Notamacropus eugenii: one gene and its partners. The protein of the gene in region 3 purifies or fractionates together with the protein of the main gene of each other region. This does not show direct contact. Links are inferred from orthologs where the notes say so. Each region holds a gene or a part of one and is shown on either strand. Other genes may lie near its edges.

What was found. The genes of interacting proteins can lie anywhere in the genome.
Region 1: the proteins of RFC4 (region 3) and RFC1 fractionate together in Homo sapiens (co-fractionation; 7 studies listed by BioGRID and IntAct, counting the BioPlex papers as one, with this or other methods). This does not show direct contact. The link is inferred for Notamacropus eugenii from reciprocal best matches to the Homo sapiens genes RFC4 and RFC1.
Region 2: the proteins of RFC4 (region 3) and ATAD5 purify together in Homo sapiens (affinity purification with mass spectrometry; 5 studies listed by BioGRID and IntAct, counting the BioPlex papers as one, with this or other methods). This does not show direct contact. The link is inferred for Notamacropus eugenii from reciprocal best matches to the Homo sapiens genes RFC4 and ATAD5.

The regions. Positions count from the first base shown.
Region 1 is NC_092877.1:93,500,997-93,508,480, forward strand, and holds the start of RFC1 (replication factor C subunit 1), read right to left. Parts: upstream 3,012-7,484; 5' UTR 2,825-3,011; coding exon 2,822-2,824; intron 1-2,821. UniProt on the Homo sapiens protein: Subunit of the replication factor C (RFC) complex which acts during elongation of primed DNA templates by DNA polymerases delta and epsilon, and is necessary for ATP-dependent loading of proliferating cell nuclear antigen (PCNA) onto primed DNA.
Region 2 is NC_092873.1:311,746,730-311,753,653, forward strand, and holds the start of ATAD5 (ATPase family AAA domain-containing protein 5), read right to left. Parts: upstream 3,012-6,924; 5' UTR 2,657-3,011; coding exon 2,588-2,656; intron 1,110-2,587; coding exon 1-1,109. UniProt on the Homo sapiens protein: Has an important role in DNA replication and in maintaining genome integrity during replication stress.
Region 3 is NC_092877.1:340,821,021-340,828,429, forward strand, and holds the start of RFC4 (replication factor C subunit 4), read right to left. Parts: upstream 3,015-7,409; 5' UTR 2,494-3,014; coding exon 2,360-2,493; intron 1,583-2,359; coding exon 1,504-1,582; intron 1-1,503. UniProt on the Homo sapiens protein: Subunit of the replication factor C (RFC) complex which acts during elongation of primed DNA templates by DNA polymerases delta and epsilon, and is necessary for ATP-dependent loading of proliferating cell nuclear antigen (PCNA) onto primed DNA.

The DNA of each region.
Region 1 (7,484 bases), about 250 Mb from region 3:
GATAAATTCATATGCAACTGAAAATCTTATTTAATAGACCAATTTGCTATTATCTCCCTTTTAAAAAGGTACAAACAATAAGAAAACAAATAAACGAGCATCAAAAGAAAAGAGCTTCAATAAGAAAACTAAACCCAAATTTATGTCAGTATGCTAATCTTTTCTATCAGACTGCTAACATCATTGGGCTCTACAACATCCCTCAAAATTATCTTCCATGATATATTCTACAATGCAATATAAAGCATATCATTTGGGAAAGTATACTTCAAAAGATAGTGATGATTATATGACTGTAATGAACTATTGGTATACTGTAAGAAATAGTGAATATGATCAATACAGAGAAGCACGGGAAGACTTGCAGAAACTAATGCAAAGAGAAGTAAATAGAATCAGAAAAGCAATAAACAATGCTTACAATACATAATAAAACACAATAAAAATAACAAACTTTAGAATATGATCTCCCTTGCTCACTGACAAAAAAGATTCCATATACATCAAAATTTATAGCAACACTTTGTCTTAGTAAAGAACTGGAAACAAAACAGATGCCAATGAACTGAGGAATACCTAACAAATTGTGATACATAAATGTAACAGAATCTAGAAGATGCAAAAGCAAAAGATAAAAAAAACCACTTTTTTAAAAAAATGTGACCACCTCAAGGGCAGGAAGTGATTTTGCCTTTCTTTCTATTTTCATACTTAACACAGCAGCTAGCTAGCACACGGGGCTCCTTGACTAACTGAAATCTGTGAAAAGGATAATAGCGACCTCCAAACATAGTTATGAGAAGACTCCTGCCTTCCCACTCTGTGCCAGAGGCTTGGGATTATGGAGAATGGAACACTGAAGATGATGCCATACTTTTTTTTCCATATGTCTGCTAACTTTGCTGTACTGTGTTTCGCTCTTTGAAAGGAGAAGGGGAGAAAGATACAGCAGACAACAAAAGTGATGTATCTCCTTCTGAGGACCTGATTTTCTTCACTCTTAAAGAAACATTATCACTTTCAGGACTTTAAGATAATGTCACTAAAGACAAATGAAAAGATATTCGGCAGAAACAAGGGAATTCAAGAGATAAACAGGCAAAATTATTGACCTAATAAATACTGCTTATTGAAATGAGACAACATATATAAAAGGGTCTATAAACCTTAGAGCACTGTATAAATAGGAGCACTGAGTAAAAAAAAGAAATATAGGGGATACAAAAAAAGTAGCAATAAAATTTACTTTTAAAAAAAAGTGGTGCTGATCATTTAATAGTTAAGTTTACTCTTTTTTCAAAAAGAAATCCAAGCATTGGAATGGACAAAGCTTCTCATTCTAGTAAAGTGTTTATATATAAATTATTCTTTTACCTCAGAAAAATTGGCATGTTGAAAAATGAGCTGTGGAATACCTGGCAGCATCAGATAGTTTTTTTTTAACTTCAGGGAGTTTTATAAGTTCACTTTCTAAATTAAAATGTTTTAACAGCTACTACTGTCTGAGTGGAGTCATGCGACAACCCTCTTTTGCCAAGCGTGTGACTGTTTCATAGATGGTATAGTATATACAACATAGTTTCATAGTATATAGTGTATAGATAGTATATTCATAGATGGTATAATATACTATCTATACTATATACTATCTATACACTATATACACTACATAGTATACACAGATTTATGAGTTAATTTTTTTAAGCATGATGTCAAGTTTCAAAGAGGGTATAGTGGAAGGAAAACCGGACTCAGAGCCGGAAGACCTGAGTTCCAATGCCAGTTCTGCTACTTACTAGGTCTCCACTGGGGCAAACACCTAACCAGTTTCTCTATTCCTCAGTTTCCCTTTTTTCTAAAAGCGGTCAAAATCATCTCTTTCGCTGCTACCAGCTCTCAACCACGAACCTGGATAATGAGATGGGATCGCGGCCGTCCACTTTGTTTCTGGTAACCACAACACAACCTACTGAGTTTCTACCCACTTTTCCAAGAACACATCATGTCAACACTGATTTTTCCTACGATGGCCCGAGCAGCCCAGCCACAAAAGCCCAACACCAAGCGGCACGAGGGAGCTCCCAGGGCTGCCTGCTGTCTCCTGGCTCCTCCCTGTGTCCTCAGCACTGAGTAGGGAGGGCAGGAAGGAACGCTAGCTGCTGTTGGGTTTGTCAGTGGTGTTACCGTGTTACCGATGACGGCCGTACTACGAACGAAACAACAAGCGTCAGGAGTCAGCATTTCCGCGGCCCTGTTGAGGGTTCTGCCAAGCCCTCCGCACACGTTATTTCAATAGATGCTCGGAACAAACCTGGGAGGGGGTGCTACTAACGTTGGGAACGTCCTCGTTCTGCAGGGGAGGAAGCCGAGCCGGAGAGCAGTGCCTGCCCCGTTATCCCCGGGCAACAAGCTGCCTACGCGGAGGCTTAGGGGACCCCCCCCCAAGAAGCTGGGATCCAAAGGACAAAATCCATCCTTCCTCCCCGCCCCGTAAGAAAAAAAAACCTCCTCCCCCTCCCCACCCTGGGGGGGGGCGCAAAACTCCCGCCTAACAGCAACAGCCCTGTGCCCCAAAGAGGGGGCGCCTCCAAATTCCATTCCGCTCCCCGCCTCCCCCTCCGGCCCAAGGGTGGGGGCCCTGGAGAAGGGCCCCGGCCAGGGGTGGAGGGAAGGTCGGGGGTCCTGCCCTCCTCACGAATCACCCCCCTGCCCTGGGGCTCCCCCGACTCCGTCCCCGCTGCCCCACACACCAATGCCCCCAGTCCGCCCGCCGGCCGGGGGAGGGGAAGGAAGGCGCGGTGGCAGAAGCTCCACTGCTCACCATAACTGTCCGGAGAGCGGGCGGCGGGGGACACTGGGGCAGAGCGGCCAACGGCGGCGGAAGACCCTTAACAAGGTTCGGGCTACATTCGCGCCAACAAGTTCTCCCGCGAAATAGGGGCTGGGACGGCGGCGCCGCGTGATGACGTAGGAGCGCGCTGCGTACGCTCGCGGTGAGCTCGCGAGACTGGCCTCTAACTCTTGGCTAGCCCGGGACTCCGCGCAAGCGCACTGGGGCGGAGGGGGGCTAGGCAGCAGTCTTGGGCCCTGCCCTCAGGGATCTTACGTTCAAATATATGAATCGAGTAATTATGAACGTACAAACTACGTATAGTGTACCAGGAGAGTCTCTGGCAACAAACATTTATGAAGGGTTTCCTGTGTGCCAGGTAGCGTGCTGAGCTCCGGGGCCACCAAGGAAAGGGAGCTCGGAGTCCAGGCGGAGACCACGTGCAAGCCCCAGGACCACAAACCAGAGGCGGAGGGAATAAAGTGGAGATCCCCGGGGCAGGAAGCAGCCGGAAGGCCGGGGGAGTCTGCCTGCGGAAGGCCGCAGTCCTGGGCTGTCCTCCCCTCCCAGCACGCTGTCGGGTGGGTGAGGCCTGGACTGCGGCCTCGTTGGACTTAAGGGAGGCAGAGTGCTCAGCCTTCCCCCCCTTCCAGTGCGCTCATCCGCCCAGTGCCCGAGGCTGGGGCTAGACGCCCCCTAATTCCCCAGCGTGGTGCCCCTCCCCCTGGCTTAGCCTCTCTGCCCAGACTCCTCTATCAGGGTGTGGCCTCCGCAGGTGGGAGCTGAGTACCAGGTAGATGGCGGAGGTGTCTGAAAAGGGCTTGGCAAGCCCCCAGCGGATGCACCCCGAGAACTTCAGCTATAACTTGAAGGAAGCCAGGAAAACCAAAAGGGGGAGAAGAGGGGAAAGACGTTCCAAGAAAAGGGTGAAGATGCCCAGACGCTAACTGGCACTAGCATTGTTAATGATGCTTAGAATCGGTATAATTATTTTGGAAAGCAATTTGGAATTAAGCAAAAAAAAAAAAATTGCTATCCTACTCCTGGACCCAGAGTTTCCATTACTAGGCATGTACCCTAAGATAGAAGGGGTATGTTAGCAGTGCCTAATAGATAGAGCACTGGACCTGCAGTCTGAATGTTGTTGTCATTCAGTCATGTCCAGCTCTTTCTGACCTTATTTGGGGTTTTCTTGGCAAGGATACTGGACTGGTTTTCCAGTTCCTTCTCCAGCTCATTTTACAGAGGAGGAAGCGGAGACAAACAGGATTAAGTGTATTGTCCACAGTCCCACAGCTAGTGTCGGAGGCAAAATTTGAACTCATGGAGATGAGTCTTTTATGCTATGTTAAGACATAGATCCTGGGTTAAATACTGCAACCAGTTTGTATGCATGTAATTCAAGATTTTATTGAAGAGACTTTATGTTCCAGAACTCAGTGCAATTAGTATGCGTTTATCTGTGAAAATAAAAATATTGGTGCAGAACCTTGCCTTTAATAGGAAATATAAACAATAAATAGTAATAAAATCCCTTATTTCCATAAAATATGCAGAGAAAGGGAAAGCATTGCCCTTTTGAAATAACTGTCAAATGATTAGAACACAACAGATAAATATTGAACTCTGATTTCCCTTTACAAGTGGTTCAATTAGTGTTTTAGTGTCAAATTAACTGAAATGAGCAGTGTAAGTTCTTTGTGTGTAAATGCCTCTGCCTCAGTGAAAGTATCAGTATAATAAAGATAAAACTTATCTACAACCACTTGAAGTCCTCTTTCCTTTCAGAATAGGTCACATTTACAGAATTTAAAAATTCAAAAAACAGAAACAACTGAGAATTTGTATTCATTTTGGAATTTTCATTCTGCAACAATAATTGTAACTTCCTGTCCTCTGGATGAATATTAGCATGTTATCTGTTTATTAGAGCATTTTCCTTATAGAAAAAGTTGATTAGCCAGCTTGTCATTTTCTGTGTTTGTGGTGACTGCAGATCCAAACCAATAAACAGCAACTGTATAATCTATTTATGCATAAAAAGAATCATTAGGTCACAATCTATCACTATTAGAGTTCATGCATTGTAATTTAGGAAATTAAGTACTAAGTATATCATTTATCTTAATTCAAATTGATGTCCAAATAATCTTCTTAATGTGATTATGTGTGAGTAATCTGGATATGTATGAACTTGCCTGATAGTTGACTTCTTATATCATAAGAATGTGTATTCCATCTTCTTACAAATGAAAAACAGAAAGTTTTCCCAGATATAACTGTGGGTTTTACTTGGAAGGTAACTAATAACATGAAAAACATGTGGAACACTAAGATTTAACCAAAAGTACATAATCTTGAATGATGGTATATTCCATTGGTTATGTTTTTAAGGTTTGTGGGGTTTTTTTGTTCCAAACCCATGATTTCATCAGTGTATTGACATCCCCATGCAGAAACTTCCTCCACCAAATGAAGATGTGTAACTCATCCCTAATTTACAGTTTTGGAGGATCAGTTTGGGGTAGAAAGATTTAGTGCCTTGCAATGGTAAAGAAACAAAGGGCTATCAAAGCCAGCTCTGCATGACTCCAAAGGTAGACCCCTCTGTATCACACAATGCTGCCTCTCTACTGTCTTGATACATATGTATAATGTTTCTCAAACTAGAGGTCAGGTCAAGTTTCAGGAGATATGTGGAGAATGGATTCTTAATAATTCCAGTGAACATTTGAACATGAACAAGGTAACCTAACTTTCTACTACATAGGCAGAAGATTTTCTCCATGTTTTTTAAATCTACTGCAAAGGACTGCACTATAGAGACTATATTAGGACCTGGAGAGTCACCAATACCATTGAGAGTCACAAAATGAAAAGACTTGAATAACCCTGTTGAAGTTTATACAACATTGTAAAAGAAAAACAATTTTGAAAGACTTAAGAATTGGGTTCAATACAGTGACTAAACATGATTCCAGAGGATTGATGAGGAAGCATGCTAGATCTTGTAACAAAAAGGTGATGAACTCAAGAATGAAACATGTTGTCTATATTTTTACTGTATACATACACATTTTCAGATAAAATCAATGTTTAGCTTAATTATATGTGTTTTTGTTACGGTTTTTTTAATGGAAGAGGAGAGATTTTCAAGGGAAAGAGGAGTAGCAGTAGGGTTGACCCCCAAAAATAGGAAAGAAAAGAGAGTCATTGACACTTTTTTAAAAATACGCAGAAGAGAACAAAAGGAAACACAGACTAGCAGGAAAGCTTTGGAAGTTATATTTTCTTTTTTGATAAGCTTACTCTATTATTAGCTGAAACGAAAACTATAGATATAGTTTAGCTAAATTTTAACAAAGCTTTTGATAAAGTATCATGTGCTATTCTTGTGAAGAAGATAGAGGGATATGGACTAGATGATAATACAATCAGATGATTTCAAAACTGGTTGAATGACCAGACTCAAAGAATAACTTAATTGTTCAAATGGCAGTGTGGCAAGGGATCTACAGTGAAGTACCCTTGGCATCTCTTGACCTTATACTTTTCAAGATTTTTATCAATGACTTTTGAAAAGGTATAAATTGCATTTTCATCAAATTTTCAGATAAATATGGGAGAGATAGGTACTACAGTATATGACAGAGTCAGCTTCCCAAAGGATCTGGAAAGGCTAGAACTTTGGATTGAATCTAAGAAGATGAAATCCAATAGGAATGAATGTAAAATTTTGGACTTGGGCATAAAAAATCCACTTCATAAAGTATATGAATGGAGAGAAATTGTGCTTTAAAAAAGATCTAGGAATTTTAGTGTACTACAAGGTCAATATGACTCAACAGTGGTGTGACTTTCAGGAATAGGGATATGATAGTACCGCCGCATTCTGCTCTTCTCAGAACTCATCTGGTTGAGTTCTAGACACCACAATGTAAGAGCAAAGATAATCTGGATAATTTCCAGAGAAGGGTAACCAGTATGTTGTAGCATCTTGAATGCATTCTATACAAGGCTCAGTGGAAGAAACTGAGTATGTTTAGGTAAGAGAAGAGAAGATTCCAAGGGAATATGACTGTTACCTTGAAGTATTTGAAAGGCTGTCATGTGGAAGAGTGACTAAAGCCCAGAGGGTAGAGAGGAAAGCCAGGAACAATGAGTCAAAGTAGTACAAAGGTGAATTTAGTCTCAATATTTGGGAAAACTTCCCAACAATTAAAGTGAGTTGGACTTCCTAGAGAAGTTACCCTTCTTTGAAAGTCTTCAAACAAAGGCTGAAGGACTATTTGTTGAATATGTTATAGTTGGGATTTTTTTATGTGTATGGATTGGGCTATAGAGCTGTTGAGGGGCCTTCCCTTTCTGTGATTTTGACATTCTGAATAGAAGAAAAAAGCAAGTTGTATATACATTATACAGATTCTCATGGTATCATTTATAGTCCTCCTTTCCTCTTCTACTTTGTATATGGAAATGTTTATTTGATTTGGTGTTTGTTAAATTCTGAATTTTAAAAATCAATTAAAAATAAAATCACTGCTAAAAAAGGGAATAATTGTTTAAAAAAGAATAACTGCACTATTATTTGAAAATGTTACTATAATGAATCCTACCTAGAACTTTTCTCTCCACTTCAATCATATTTGGTAAA
Region 2 (6,924 bases), on a different chromosome or scaffold from region 3:
AATTCTTCCTCTGCTATAACTACATTGGATTTTCTTTTCTGAACTGTCTGTTCATTTTCAGGCTCAGGAAGTTTATTCCCAATTTCATTTTCCTTTTGTTTCAAGAAAATTGATGGTATTTTGAGAGTCCTTTTCCCTTTAATCCTTGAAATAGGCTTGGGTGGCACAGCATGAATTTGTGCAAGAACAGTCACTTTTTTAAGGGGCAGCTGCTGGGAACTTTCACTGCCTTCAGGCTCACTAGTGTTCCCACTTTTACCAACATCATCAGGAGTATCGGACATTTTTGGTCCTTGTATGTGCTCCAATGGGTTTACTTCCTGACTTCTTAAAAATTCTTCATAGGATACAGTTACCGTATTATCATTTACCTGGGCTGTGTCAGACACATGAACTCCAGGGCTGGAATCACTTGCAAAATCCACAATTTCACCAGTTTTGAGTTCTGTTTTTTGCTTATTGTCCTTGGGTTCCTTTTTGGATTGTTGGCTGGATTCTTTTTCTAATGATAAATTTCTAGTTAGGTCTTTATCATCTTTGTGCTTCCTTTTCCTTAATTTTTTGCAGTCATTTTTTGTGATGCTTTGTTCAGCGTTTACTTTCTTTCTGTCTTTTTGGGAGGACGTTGTGCTTGATTGCTTATTGTTACTCTGACTACTTTCTGAGAAGGGCTCTACATTTTTCCGAGTAAGTAAACCAGAAGTATCACTGTCACTACCCACAAAAACATTATTTAAGCTTGTTTCTTCTCTGCTGTCATCACTACTAATAATTATGGGTTCATTTTCCAATTTTTTAATATCATTAAGTTGTTGAGATAAATTAATTCTCTTTCCCCTTGACTTAGGCTCTAAATTGGAGGAATTGTTCAAAAGTGTTTTCCCTTCTTTGCTATCATCAAAATGCAATGGTTTAGATGACTGTATCTTGCATTTCTTAGCTATAGAAGACTTTTCATTTATGGGTGAAGTCCTTTTAAAATAATCCAAGATGTTATTAGATTTTGGTGGGGAGAAAACTTTGTCTCCAGTTTTCCTTATAGGTGACATATATTCAGTAATGGTTTTACAGGAAGCTCCATCATCTTCTTTCCTTTGCTTCTTGCATGGCTTTAAATTTAAAAAAGAAAAAAAACCATGTAACTAGGGGAAAATAAAATGTAAAAAAAAGAATATAAGTTCTACTTATAATAACAGTAAGAAGAAATTAATATTTTTATCTAAATAAACAAATGAATGAGTAAAAATATTTTTAGAATAGAAATTACTAATTTATGTATATCAAATAAGGAAACTACATCTGAAAAATAAGAAAACATTAGAAATACCTAGAACACAGCAACTTATATGACTTATGGACTGTTTTAGGGGAAGTCATTTGCCCCAATTTGTCTTGAAAGTTGTTGTCTTTTGAACTAGTAGCCAACCTTCTTCCAACACAGTAGTGTTAAAGGAGGTTTCTGAAGTAACGTGTATCCTTTTTGTGCCTAGTATACATTAGTAATCTGCTTATATTTAACAGAAATCAGACACCACAGTATTGGTGCCTCACTTTCTGTTTTATGTTTCATGGAGAATCTTTACAGTTCTGTTTCAAGTATTTACCTAAAGAGTTTTTAATAAGAAGCAAAACTCTAAACCAAAATTGCTTTTCACCAGTCTCATCTCTTCCAAGGTGTAAATACTAGCTGGGAGTCCAAAAGACGGGGAGTTGGGGAGAACCACTGAGCTTGATTCTAATTATCTCTAAGTAAAGTTGATGTCTGGAAACTCACATATGTTGACCAGAAGGAAAACCATTACTTGCCAAGTATTTTACATGTAACTAAACGTACAGGTGTGACAGATCAAACGGAAAGACTGCTCCAGTCACAGAAGGAAAGAAATGCTTCTCTCTCAGTTGCCGTCAGAATTCAAAACTCCCTAGAGATGTTTCACTAAGAACAAAATTCGGCCACTGCTTTCCGTCACGACCTGGCTGGGTGACCCCCTGGTCGCCGGGCCGACGTTCTCCTGGCAAAGCTGTCATTTGTGGAAGAAGGGGAAACTGGCAAAGGCAGCTTCGGTCATTTTCCCGATCACCGCCCTGCGCAGCCTTCCCTGGGGGGCCGAAGCCCCTCTTCTCGGCTAAGAGGGAAGGGTCTAGGGGTGAACGTGGGGTGGGGGGAGGCAGACCACGTGATTAAAGGCCCCCCAGAGAGACGGGCTGGGGGCTACCGGGGATGGGTGGGGATCCAGACTCCAGACCGAGTGAAGGGTCCCAGCTGCGGGGTGGAAGGGAGCTCTCATTGTATGGGCGAGGAAACTGAGGCACAGAAAGCACGAGCCACGCGTGGTGGACATCACCATCGAGATCGGCTCCGGACCCGGGGCCTCGGGGTTCCCTCCTCAGACGGGCCTTTGAGACCCCAGAGAGCATCTGTTAAGTACCTGCTGTAAGTGCAATGGGGGAAGGAAGGGTACAGCCCCCTCCCCCAGACTCGACTGTACTCCGCGCCCGCCCCACCCCCAGGGCAGTCCAAGAGCTCCGGGGCTAGCTGCCCCGGGAGGGGGGGAGCTCCCCGCCTGGGGCAGGGGGCAAGGCTCACCTGGATGTCCAAGTCCTTTCCGGGCGCTCGGGCCGGAGCCGCCGCAGCCATGGCCAGCACCCCGACCATGGTCCCCGGCTCGGCTCCCGGGCTGCCAGGCCCTCAGGAGCGGACGGCGCCGGATCCGGAGCCGGCGCGCGCGGGTACCATGACGTTCGGGACCCGGCTCTGGGGAGCGCGGGACGCGGGAAGAGACCCCAGCAGAAAGCGCGCGGACGCGGGACCCCCAAGCCAGAAGCCGTGCGCAGGCGTCTCCCCCTCCCCCCGCCAGCGGGCGACCCTCGAGGGTCTGGGCGCCTGGGCTGCACTGGGGTCCGAACTGTGGGAGGGCGGGGGGAGGGTGCAGGCGGCTGGGGAGGCCCGAGCTCCGCGGACAGAGATTCTTGTCAATTGGGTTTTCGCGCCGTCCGGGAGCGCCGGAAGCGGGGGCGGGGCAATTACGCAACGTCCGGGACGGGGAGTGGATGGCGGCCCGCGAGGGCCAGAAACCGGCGCCGTGAACGGAGGCGACCCTCGCAGTCACTCCGCCTCGCTCTGGGGTCCGAAGGTCGGGCACCCGCTGAAGGGCTGAGAGAGCGAAGGGAGTCCGGAGCCATCCGGTCAGATCCCCTCGTTTACGGAGGAGGAAACTGAGCCCCGAGGAGTGAAGGGACCTTGCCCGGGACCCTCCGGAAGGAAGCCCGCCGGCTGGCCACGGGCTCTCTGCGGGGCGTCCGCCCGGAGACCCAGACGGGTCAACCCTCTACCCGCCGCGCCCCCCAGCCCGGCAGGACGGAAGCCGCCGCCCGGAGCCCTGCAGGGCAGCTCTCCTCAGGAGCTCCTGCGTCTCCCCATCCCCCCGGGTCAATGGCAGAGCCCTCTGCGCGGCATTTAAAGCCCTTCCCAAGCTGTTTGGGGTGCTCTCTTTAATTAGCACAGATGTGCAGGGACAGCGCAGGCCGCTGCGGGGAGGCTCCCCAAGCCCCTCCCGGCATTCCCCCGCTGGACTTGCAAAGGCATAAGGCCTTAAGGTCTCGAAATCCCGGAGAGGAGTCGGTGGCCCGCAGCCCGATACCCAGCCCTCCTCCCATGCCCTCAGGTGGTTAGGAAGGTCCGAGAGAGGCAGAAGTTTTGTTCATTGTCTTTGTTACGTGCCCTCCTAGTGGATTGTCTGCGGGCCATCTACGAGAAGCGATCGGTCGGAAGGAAGGAAAAGCAGATTTCTATCGTGTTAATATTTCAGAGAGAGATTTCATTCTCTTTTTCGACACCCTGAGATCAGTATTGAGTTGGGCGCAGGGCCCCCCCATCAAGAGCTGTGTGAGCTCGGACTGAAAGAATTGGGAGCCTGATGGAAGAGCTTGATCTCTGAGGCATTTGGGAAAGTCATCTCGTGCCCACTGAAAACCCTCCAATGAAACTAGGTGGCCGATAGTAGTCAAATTATTATTTTTTAAAAAATTTAATTCTGAATGTAAATAAGAAAAAAGGGCATTTCCATATATGCAGCAGTAGACCAATAAAAAAGAAAAGGATTCTCCATGGAACTGCAACTCTCCATTTCCTAAGCTTGCTTTTCTTTAGATATATGATCAATTCCACAAGTTATTTTCAAAACTACCCTGCTTGTACTTCCATCTGAAGTACACTTCTTTATATTTTCATCTCCTCATTTTAAAAAAAGATCTTATTTTGGTTATAATAGCACTAACCCTGCCTTCATTTCCCATGATGAAAACAGAAAGAAAAAGGAACCACATCAGGACGTACAATGAGCTGCCTAACATAGTTCCTCCACAAAAATCTAGGAAATACACGAGAACAAATCTAAACACAGGCCAGGAACTTGCCAAGCTCAGACTAGGCGACAGTGATCAGACTTTGCCCTGATTTTGGCACCACTCAAAGTGTTCAGGTCCCCAGCCTGAGCAGCTCCCTGAGATCCTACAATTACTCAATAGTCAACACTCCAAGAAAGCAGTAGCAGGACCCAAGAGACTAAACCCAGACATTCTTTCCAGAATTATGAGAGCTTTGCCCTAACAAAGTCTGAAGTAAAGAAGTAGGCTGAAAGGCTGATGAAACAAACAAAAAAAAGAATCTTCCCATAAAAAGATGTCATGGTGACCAGGATGCTTAGGACACAAACCCAAAAGAAGATAATGACTCCAGAACATCTACGAGAAAACAAAAGAAAAACATAGCTTAGGCACAAGTTCAACTATAATTCATGGGGAATATGAAGCAAATAGTTTTTTTTAAAACATGTTTTTAAAATATTTTTAAAGATGTTTTCATGAATAAAATGAGAATGTGGGGGGATGGAAAAAAAGAACAAGAAAGAATTAGAAGGGGAATGAACAGCTACACGCAAGCTTACTCAAGCAACAAACTCCCCCAAAATTAGAATGAACCAAGTAGAAGTTAACAACTCCCTGAACCAACAAGAAATATCAAAACAAAGTCAAAAGATTAAAAAAATATGAGAAAATGTAAGACATTTCATAGCCAGAACAACTTACCTGGAAAACAGATTGATGAGATAATTTGAGAATCATTGAAACCTGAAAGCCATGACCCAAAAAAGAGTCTAGAGATCAAATTTCAAGAAATCATAAAAGACAACTGCCCAGATTTCTTAGATCAAGAGAACAAAGTGAAAATGGAACCCTCTGGTCCCCTTATGTAAAGGAAACACCAAAAATGAAAATTCCCAGGAACACCATATCCAAAGTCTAGAATTTTCAGGTTAAAATAAAAAAATACTGCAAGCAACAAGAAAGAAAGAATTCAGGTATTGAGGATCTATAGTCAGGGTTGTAGATAATTTAATAGCTACCACTATAGGAGAGTGGAGAGCTTGGAATTTGATGTTCCAAAAAGGGAAAGATATAGGCTTACAAACAGAATAATTTACCCACTGAAACATAATGCTAGAGGGATAAAAATAGATCTTTAATGAAATAGGGGAGTTCTAAGCATTCTTGAGGGAAAAAAAATCAAGTTGTATAGGAAAAATACAAATACAGAAGTCAAGAGAAATATGAGTAAACAATCATAATGGACTAAACAAAGATGAACTGTTTACATTTTAATATAAGGGGATGATATATGTGTCCCATCAGAACTCATCAAGAGCCATGGAGTCTAAGAAGCCAGATGGCCTGGAAGAGGTTTTGTCATGTTTTGATAGTCTTAGAAGAAGAAAGGACAGGGAAAAGGAATATACTGGGGAGGGAGAGGAATGGGGAGAAAGAGAGAGAAAGGAGAAGGAAAATTATGTATTCAGGATGCTGGAATAGAAAACTATACAAATAAGGAGGAAGAGGTTGGAGGAAGTAGGTAACACTTGACCCATACTCTTATCTGAACTGGTTAAAAGAGGGAAGAACATGCAAACACGATTGGGCACAGAAATACATTTCACTCAACAGGGTAACAGGAAGGAAAGGGAAAAGAGAGAAAGGATAATAAAGAGTATTTAAGGGAGGGATTAACCCTAACCAAACCAAACACTAAGATAGGTAGAACAGATTATGAAGTTGAAAAGAAAAAAAAAGAAAGAGAACCTGTGAGAGGGCTCTGTGTGAAGGAAAGAGAAGAGGGGCAGGAGAGCAGAAGCAGACTATACCAAACCTAGGCCACTGGTGCTGAGCACATTCCTCCTCTCTCACTACCTCCTTATTAGGGGTGTGGTGTGTATGTGTGTGGGGGAAACATGGAAAGATATAAAAGGATAGGATGAAAGGAAATATGCAATTAATGATCCCAACTGTCAATGGAAATGGGATGAAATCACTCATAAAACAGAAGAGAATAGCAAAATGGATTAGAAAGCAGAATCCAACAATATGTTGTTTACAAGAGAAACATATTTGAAACAGGTTCACACGGAGTTAAAATAAGAGGTGTGAGCAAATCATGCTTGAACTGAAGTAAAGACTTAAGAACTCTGATCAATCCAATGATCAACCACAGTTTCATAGGTTTGATGATGAAGCATGTACCCAACTCCTGACAGAGGGGTGATAGATTCATGGTACAGAATGAGACATACATTTTGGATATGACCAATGTGTTTTTGCTTTACTATGCATATGTATTACAAGAGTTTTGTTTTTCTTTTTCATCAGCAAGGAGGAAAATGGGCAGAAGAGAAAATTAATGTTTGCTAGCTGACAAAAGATAAACTAAAATAAAAATTACATAAAATAAACTAAACCAGTCAGTGATAACTACTGTTCTTGACTAAGAGACTTAGACTCATTAAAACTAAGTGTGAACTTTGCAGAACCACTGTTTATAGACATTTTATATTTCACCTTGGTTCTGCATTGTTTCCTTCAAAGTCAGTTTCT
Region 3 (7,409 bases):
TCTGAGGCCGGCTGTCTCTTCATCACACCATGCTTCCTCTCAGCAGGTACAAACTGAACTAAATGGATGCTTTTGTCCCTTCTAATTCTGAGGTTGTAATTTTGTGAGATATACTTCTCACAATAACTTAAAGCTTCTCCACTCACCCACCCACAGAGAAGCAATTCAATGCTTGGGGGTGGCGGGTGATGGCCTGAAGAAGGGCATCACTCTGCCTCCTTTGTCCTCTACTTCCAATGCCCTCACTTCTAAGTGAGTCCAAAATACACGTGTTCCAGCTCCTCCTCCAGGTATTCTCTGTCCTGCTCTACCCTGTGGAAGGTGAGCATGTGGGGTGGTAGAGGGTAGAAAACAGACAGTAACTGGCTTCTTCTGTCAGGGGCTGAGTCTCCCCCTTAGGCCTTTCACTGTGCTATTCAGAAATAGCACTGACAAGCTGTGCTGAGTAGGAACTACATAAAGTAATGCTTACTTACACTTTTCAGTTGCATTTTATTGCTGAACCAGAGGTCTACTTTTTTAAACAGAGTCTATTTAAGAGACTAAGGTCTATGACAGGCCTATCCAAATTTAAGGGCTACATTGAAGTGCAGACAAACTGTTGTCTCCTGTCTCTGTATGTTCTCTCCCCCTTAGCAATGTCACCTGCTGCCTAGACATGGTCTCCGAGACCATGGTTTTAATTATGGCTCTGCCACTTACTCCTTAGGTGTCCTGTCATTCAACTTCTCTAGGTCTCACCGTTCATTTCTGTGGGTCTTGACTCCCAAACTGGAAGGAAAGATTCTCAAGTGAAATAACTATTCCTAGACTTCTTAGTATCTACGCAGAAGCCCTGGTTTGGCTCTGTACATAGATTGGGCATTCACTAAAGTCGTGCTGAATCAAACTACACTCCAACCCAAATCCTGAAGTTAGCTGGTAGATACTCCCAGGAAATGCTGTCCTGTCATTCTCTCAACCCACAACTAGTTAATAAATACATACCATGGGCCAGGCCCTAGGGTGGAGAGAAAGAGTGTCATCAGGTGAGACAATATCTTAGAAAGCTATGGTTATGAAGAGTGTGCTCTAAACCCCAAGACTGTGGTGAGGACCAAATGAAACACTGTTTGTAAAGGACTTGGCACAATACCCAACGCATAGTGGGTGCTACACAAATGCTAGCGATTAATAATCGATGGAACTGTCAAGCTGGATCCCATGGAGCCACCACCCACTGGCTGGGAATTTGGACATTCAGTAGGAGGAGCCGGTGGTCGGACAACCTGAACAGAGACAGAAATGGTGTAAATGGTGTGTGCGTCTGTTCTGGGGTTCTTGACGGGACGGTTGCGTGATCAACGCAAATGCCTGGGTTATCTGTGTTCTCATGGTGATCATTGGACACAGCTACATGGAAGTGTAAATTGTTCTGATGATGCCAAGGACTTGGTATGAGAAGTATCAATCCCACTCTAGGAAAACATTTCCAAATGATAAGTTAAACAAGGTTCAACTCACGTCTGCTCCTTGTAAAGATTTCTTCAACACTGCAACTACCTCTTCCTGAAAAGCAACTTCATCCACACATTTGGGACGGCTGGGGAGAAAAAAATTGGCATTTTGTTGTTAGCAGAGACACTGAAAAGTTCCATGTGTTAGTAGTTGCTAAGAAGTCAATTACAGTCCTTGATACGTACTAACAGAAGGGGCAGAGGCAGACTTAGGAAGTGGAGCCAGGAAGGACAGGGATGTATTGTTACTGTTACAAAGAGATGTGCAGGGACGAGGATTTCCTTATACTTTCTAACTAGTTGGTCTGTCACATTGTAACATCAAAGTAAAAGGTTTTTCCAGCCTTTGTCGATCAGTTTGTGCCTGACTCTTTAGGAACCCACGTGGGATTTTGAGGGCAAAATTCATTTTACAGTCGAGGAAACTGAGGCAAACGGTCACATGGCTGGTGAGTGTCTGAGGCCTTTCTGGATGCAGACCGGTGCTCTGCCCTGTGCACCACCAGGCCGCCCTTACTACAAAAATCAGGTGAGACGTCTTGTCCAAAAGCAGTGTAGTAGCGCGGTCCCAGGAGCTGGGCAGGGGCGGCCACAGCGCTGGTGCCCCGCCAGGCGATCCCAGGGGCCCGGATTACACCGACATAGCCCCGGCCGGCGGGGCACGGCCTCGTGGGGGGCCCCGGGGCCCGTATGTCCACGCCGAGGGCGGCGCCAGGGGCCCAGCACCCCAGGGCGAGCCAGCCTACGGGAAAGTGCGGCTCTGCCGGCCTGGTAAAGTGCCGCTTCCGGCCACCAGCGGCCCAGAGTCGGCTCGGCCGGGCCCACGCGGGGCCGTGACGGCGGGGGGGGGGCGGGGCTCTTACTATTTCTCCACCCAAGGCACGGGCTTGGCCCGGCGGCTCTCGGCGCTGCTGCCCGCGGGGGCTGCGGCTCCTCGATCCTTCGTGGGCGGCGGCTTGGTGCTGAGGGAGGCGGGCCCCTTGAGGAAAGCCTGCATGGCCGCTTGGCCCTGCCCGGGGAAGGCCGGGAGGCGGGATCTGTCCGGAGCCTCCGGGCACGCGCCCCGGGGACCACCCGATAGTGGAGCTGGAGACCCGGGGAGCCGAGTCACGCACACAGGACGAGGGCGGCGGCGGTTGCCCTCCGGCCCTCCCTGGACAGGCGCTGAACGACCGGGCCCGGGGTTGCTGTCGGGAGGCCGCTGCCCGCTCCCGGTCCTGGTCCCTTACGTCTCCTCTCACTCCTGGGCGCCCAGGCTCCCGGTTCCCGCCACCGAACAGCCTGCTGGGAGCTGGCACATCACTTCCGGTGAAGGAGGGGCGACCAAGCTGGGAGGCCGTGAGCTCAGGCGGGGGTTTGGGAGGGGATCGGCTGTCCCTGGAGGGCTGGGACACGCCGTGGTTTTGCCTTTCTTTATGTCTTCATCGCTTAGCAAAGACGGCTCAATAAATGCTCGTGTATCGACCGTCACTGTCCCGCAGAAGTGCTCGGAGCCGGCCTGGAGCCCTTCTCAAAGATGGCTTCGAGGAGGGCCACGCCGCACCAGCACGCATGCGCTGGTTTCCTCTCACCCTCCCGCCCCGCATGCGCAAGATGCTCTGAATGTCTCCCTGCTGGCTCTGGGGCTCGACTCTGTGAAGGCACTGACGGCTGAGACACGTACTGGATATTTTTGTGTCAAACAGGACGGCCTGTTTGGGAAGCGTCACGTGCGTCTCTCCCCGATGCTAAGAGCGGGCAGGGGGAGTCGAGGAAAGGGTTTCTGTGCTCCCCCTACACTCTGGGCATTCTCCCTCCTAGCCCGCTAAACTTGCCTCCCCGTCCCGCCCCGCCGCAACACCTTCTGATTGGTCCTACCTCAGATCCCCAGGGCCAATCGGAACAAGGACCCGAGCCCCGCCCCCATCTCGTCCAAGCCTGCGGCCTCGGTTAATACCTTGCCCTCCAGGTTATCTGGCTCCTCTGTTTCCTTCTGAACTCCCTCTTGTACCTTAAAGAAAATGCTTCAGTGGCCCTTTCCTTCCATCCGTCAACACTATCACTTACTCCTCTCCAAATGGCCTTCCCTCGAGGAGAGAGCGCGGTGGGCGCTGCCCGAGCTGTGGTTTCTGGCCTTTCACGTCTCTGGACCAAAGGCCAGCCCGGGGCCCCTTCCAAGCCAGAGAGAGAAGAGGCTCCCGGAGAGATGAGTTGGGCCTGTGGGAGAATGTGAACAAAATGCTAAAACAGATTTTAGTTTACGTGGAAGCTTGGTCCCGTCTTGACAAAGGTCGGTGACTTCTGGGATCCCGAATGTTGAGAGCTGGGAGAATGGTAACTCAAAATCAGAATATGCACAGGGCCCCCTCACAAACCATCTAAGGCTGTCCAGCGGGCATCCCATGACTGGGAAAGGTCCTAAGCTAAGGCATCAGATTCCTCTGCCGACTGGAGACCTATAGCCAGCCGCCTGGGAATATAACACTCAGGCCGGAGGCAGTTTGGCCCAGACCCCCACCACTGTCGCTGGAGTCACTCTATGCCCAGAGCCTGGGGTATTTCCCATACTCTCCTTCTGAAATTTATGAAGTTTTTGTAGAAGTGTGCAGCTACAATCACCCACAGATCGTTTATCTTCCTGTGGCAGAAAAAAAAAGAGGAGTTATTGATGAAAGGGGCTAGGAATCCAATGATGTTGACTTGTTAATTTCTGGACTCGTACTGGCAGCAAAACAGCCCCACTCCCAAGGCTGGGTGCCCGCACGTGGCAGCCTGGGGACTCCTGGCATTGTAGTAAAAGGTGCTGACACTCTCCTATTTTCAGGTTGGGGATGAAGTCCCAAAATGCCCCTTCTGATCAAGGTCAAGGAGTGGTCTTTGTTGCAGAGCCCCAAGAATTTCAAACAGCAGACATGCTGACCTCTGTTGGATGTCAAGGCCATGGCTCAGGGCAAAGGAGGCCCAGTGCAGAAAGGAAGAAAGGACTACAAATGTCTGATATTTTTATTAGGACCATGATCATTGTTAAGAGGCCTCACACTAAGCTGATCTAGCTACAGGATTTATTGATAAGACCCAGGAATGAATTTGCTAGGTCAGTGACTAGACAAGTCACTTAACCTGTGTCTGCTTTAGTTTCCTCAATTGTAAAAATAACACCTACTCTGCAGGATTGTTGTGAGGGTCAAATGAGATAATATTTGTAAAGTGATATGCAAACCTTAAAGGGCTATTTAAATTCTAGCTTTTATCATTATGATAAAAGGGATTCATTAGCCACACTCACTCCTCTCAGAGTACAACACTCAGACTTTCTTCACTGTGCTGTATCTCTGCTCTTTGGTGTCAGAGTGCAAATAGTAGGCAGAAGGAGTTGGTCTACGCTTTGGAATTCTTATCTGGAGGTAGACATAGGGAGAAGAGTCTTTAATGAATGCCCTGATGCTAGGGTGAGCACAGAGATTGACAGGCAGGCTTCCTAGGTAAGAGGGGGCTGCAGGTTCAGATCTTCATCAGCCATTCTGAATTCTTATATTAGTGTACTGCCTCTGCTCCAGATACAGGGGCCTGGGTCTGCTCAGCCTGCACACCCAATCATACTGATCCTCAAAGGCCTGATTACAAAATAAGTTCTCAGTAAATACAGACTGTGAGGGAAAGAGGAACATATGACACACATGGTATATTTCCACCAGTAATAGTCTGACCTGCCAGTCAAAGTAAACAGTAGACAGAAACAGCTAGAATAATGGATGAATTCCTAAGAACCTTTGAACACAACATGAAAGCTTCCTGTATTTATCCTTATCTAGACTACTTGTATTTGTTGTTTTGAAAGACGCACTGGGAAAGGGGGCAGCTAGGTGGCACAGTGGACAGAGCAAGAGGTGTTTTTAGGAAGACTTGAGTTCAAATTCAGCCTCAGACATTTACTAGTTGTTTGACCCTGGGCAGGTCATTTAAACTCTGCCTCAGTTTCCTCATCTGTAAAATGAGCTAGAGAAGGAAATGGCAAACCACTCCAGTATCTCTGCCAAGAAAACTTCAAGTGGGGTCACAGAGTTACATATGACTGAAAATGACTGACCAACATCAAAGGCCTTTCAGACTACTGTTCTGCAGGCCTTGCCTCACTTCTCAGGTCCAGATAATCTATAACCAGGAGTGGAGAGACATCATGGAGCATGTGGCCTCCATGTTTTTTTTCCACCAGATTCATTTACATACAGTCAAAAGGCCCATAATTGGAATGCATGTCAGGCTGTATCTGCTCTTTGGAATCCTGGCCTGGATCTGCGGTCTCCCCTTTACCTGTCTCCACAGAGAATCCCAGGTTTCTGGGCATCTCTAATTAAATCTTTACTACCTGCCACCCCAACCCCAGGGCCAATGGCCAGCCAGTGCCAGCTAGGTTGACCTGGAATCAGCCTAGAGTCATTCAACTCCAGGGGAGGTCACGGAGAACTTCGGAGAATAGAGGAAAGGGATAATGTTGGGAGAAAGCTCAACCTTTATGCTAGAAGAAATGACATCCCCTCATCTCATAGGAAGTGAATGACTGTCTAGCTGCAGCTTGAAGACTTCCAGGGATGGAAGCAGCCACCCATTCTTCTTTGGGGTGGCTCCAACTGTTAGAAAGTTTCTTACATCAAGCCTCCACTTGCCTTTTCATTCACTACTCCCTAGTTCTGCCTCTGGGCCATTTAGAACATTTCTGATTTCTCCCCCATAGACCAGCCCTTCAAACACCTGAAAAAAGCTCTTACATCCCCCAGCCCTCTCTTCTTCATTTTTCTAGCAGATCCTCATGAGACATGGAACCAAGGCCTCCCCACCATCCCTAGCTATCCTGCCCAGTGATGAATGCCCAGAATGGAACATGTGTGTCCAGCTGTGGCCTAGCCATGACCTGTATCAAAAAAGACTATCACTTCCTTATTCCCAGAAACCACACCTCCTCATGCAGCTCTGGGTCAAATTTTAGGCTGCCTCAGGACTTCTACCAAGTAGGCAATCTGCTCTTTTTCAAACAAATGGCTCTTTGATCATGAGCAGAGGGCACCATCTGAGCAAAGGTTTTTTTTACCTTCAACATTCCGACCTACTTGCCCAGTCAGATCAATGACCGCCCTCCAGGAGAGGCCTTCACCTGAACCTGCTTTGTAACAGGCTACTTTGTTCTGGTCTGTCTTAATCTTGAACCTTCTGAGTTTGTGCTATCCGGTGCAATGGAGAAAAGGAAGATGATGCTTATGGGGCAAGGGGTCATGCACTGACGAACCTTCAAAGCTGCCAACTCAAACATTCATATATTTTCTTACTGGATAAGACAAAAGTGGGAACAAAAGGTCAAAAATGCCTCCTTATTCTTAATTTCTGGTTCACTGGGAATTTTTCTTCTGTATTTGTCCTTGGCCCTGCCTGTCCTGTCTTTCTCTTTTTTAAGTTGGGGGTGTTGAGTGGCGTAGAACATTGCTTCTCAAACTCAGATACAATCCAGACCCTGTCTGCCCACCCCCCAAAAGCCCTGGGTTCACAGGTCCTAGGGCTGACCCCTAAAGGTTATTTTCTCTGGCTCATTGCCTCCATCCAGTTTACCGTGGTAAACTCTCCATATATCATTTATAAATAGGCCATGCCTAAGTTTCCACAAATGCAGGTAACAAGGGGCCCAGTTCTCATATAAACACACAAACCAATAAGTGTATATCAGATAGAGTACAGTTTTAATTTTACCTAATAAAAAATGCAGAAAGCACAAAGAATTTGAAAGAGCCCACAAAGCCATAAATAAGAGTAGCAGCTCCCTTCTGAACAAAGTAGAGTGGCACGGACATTCTAAGAAATCCTCAGATCTCTGCCACAGCCCTATATAGTATCCTCCCTCCCCCTTCCCAACCTGCTACATCCCCTGCAGTTTGGACTCTTCCCAGA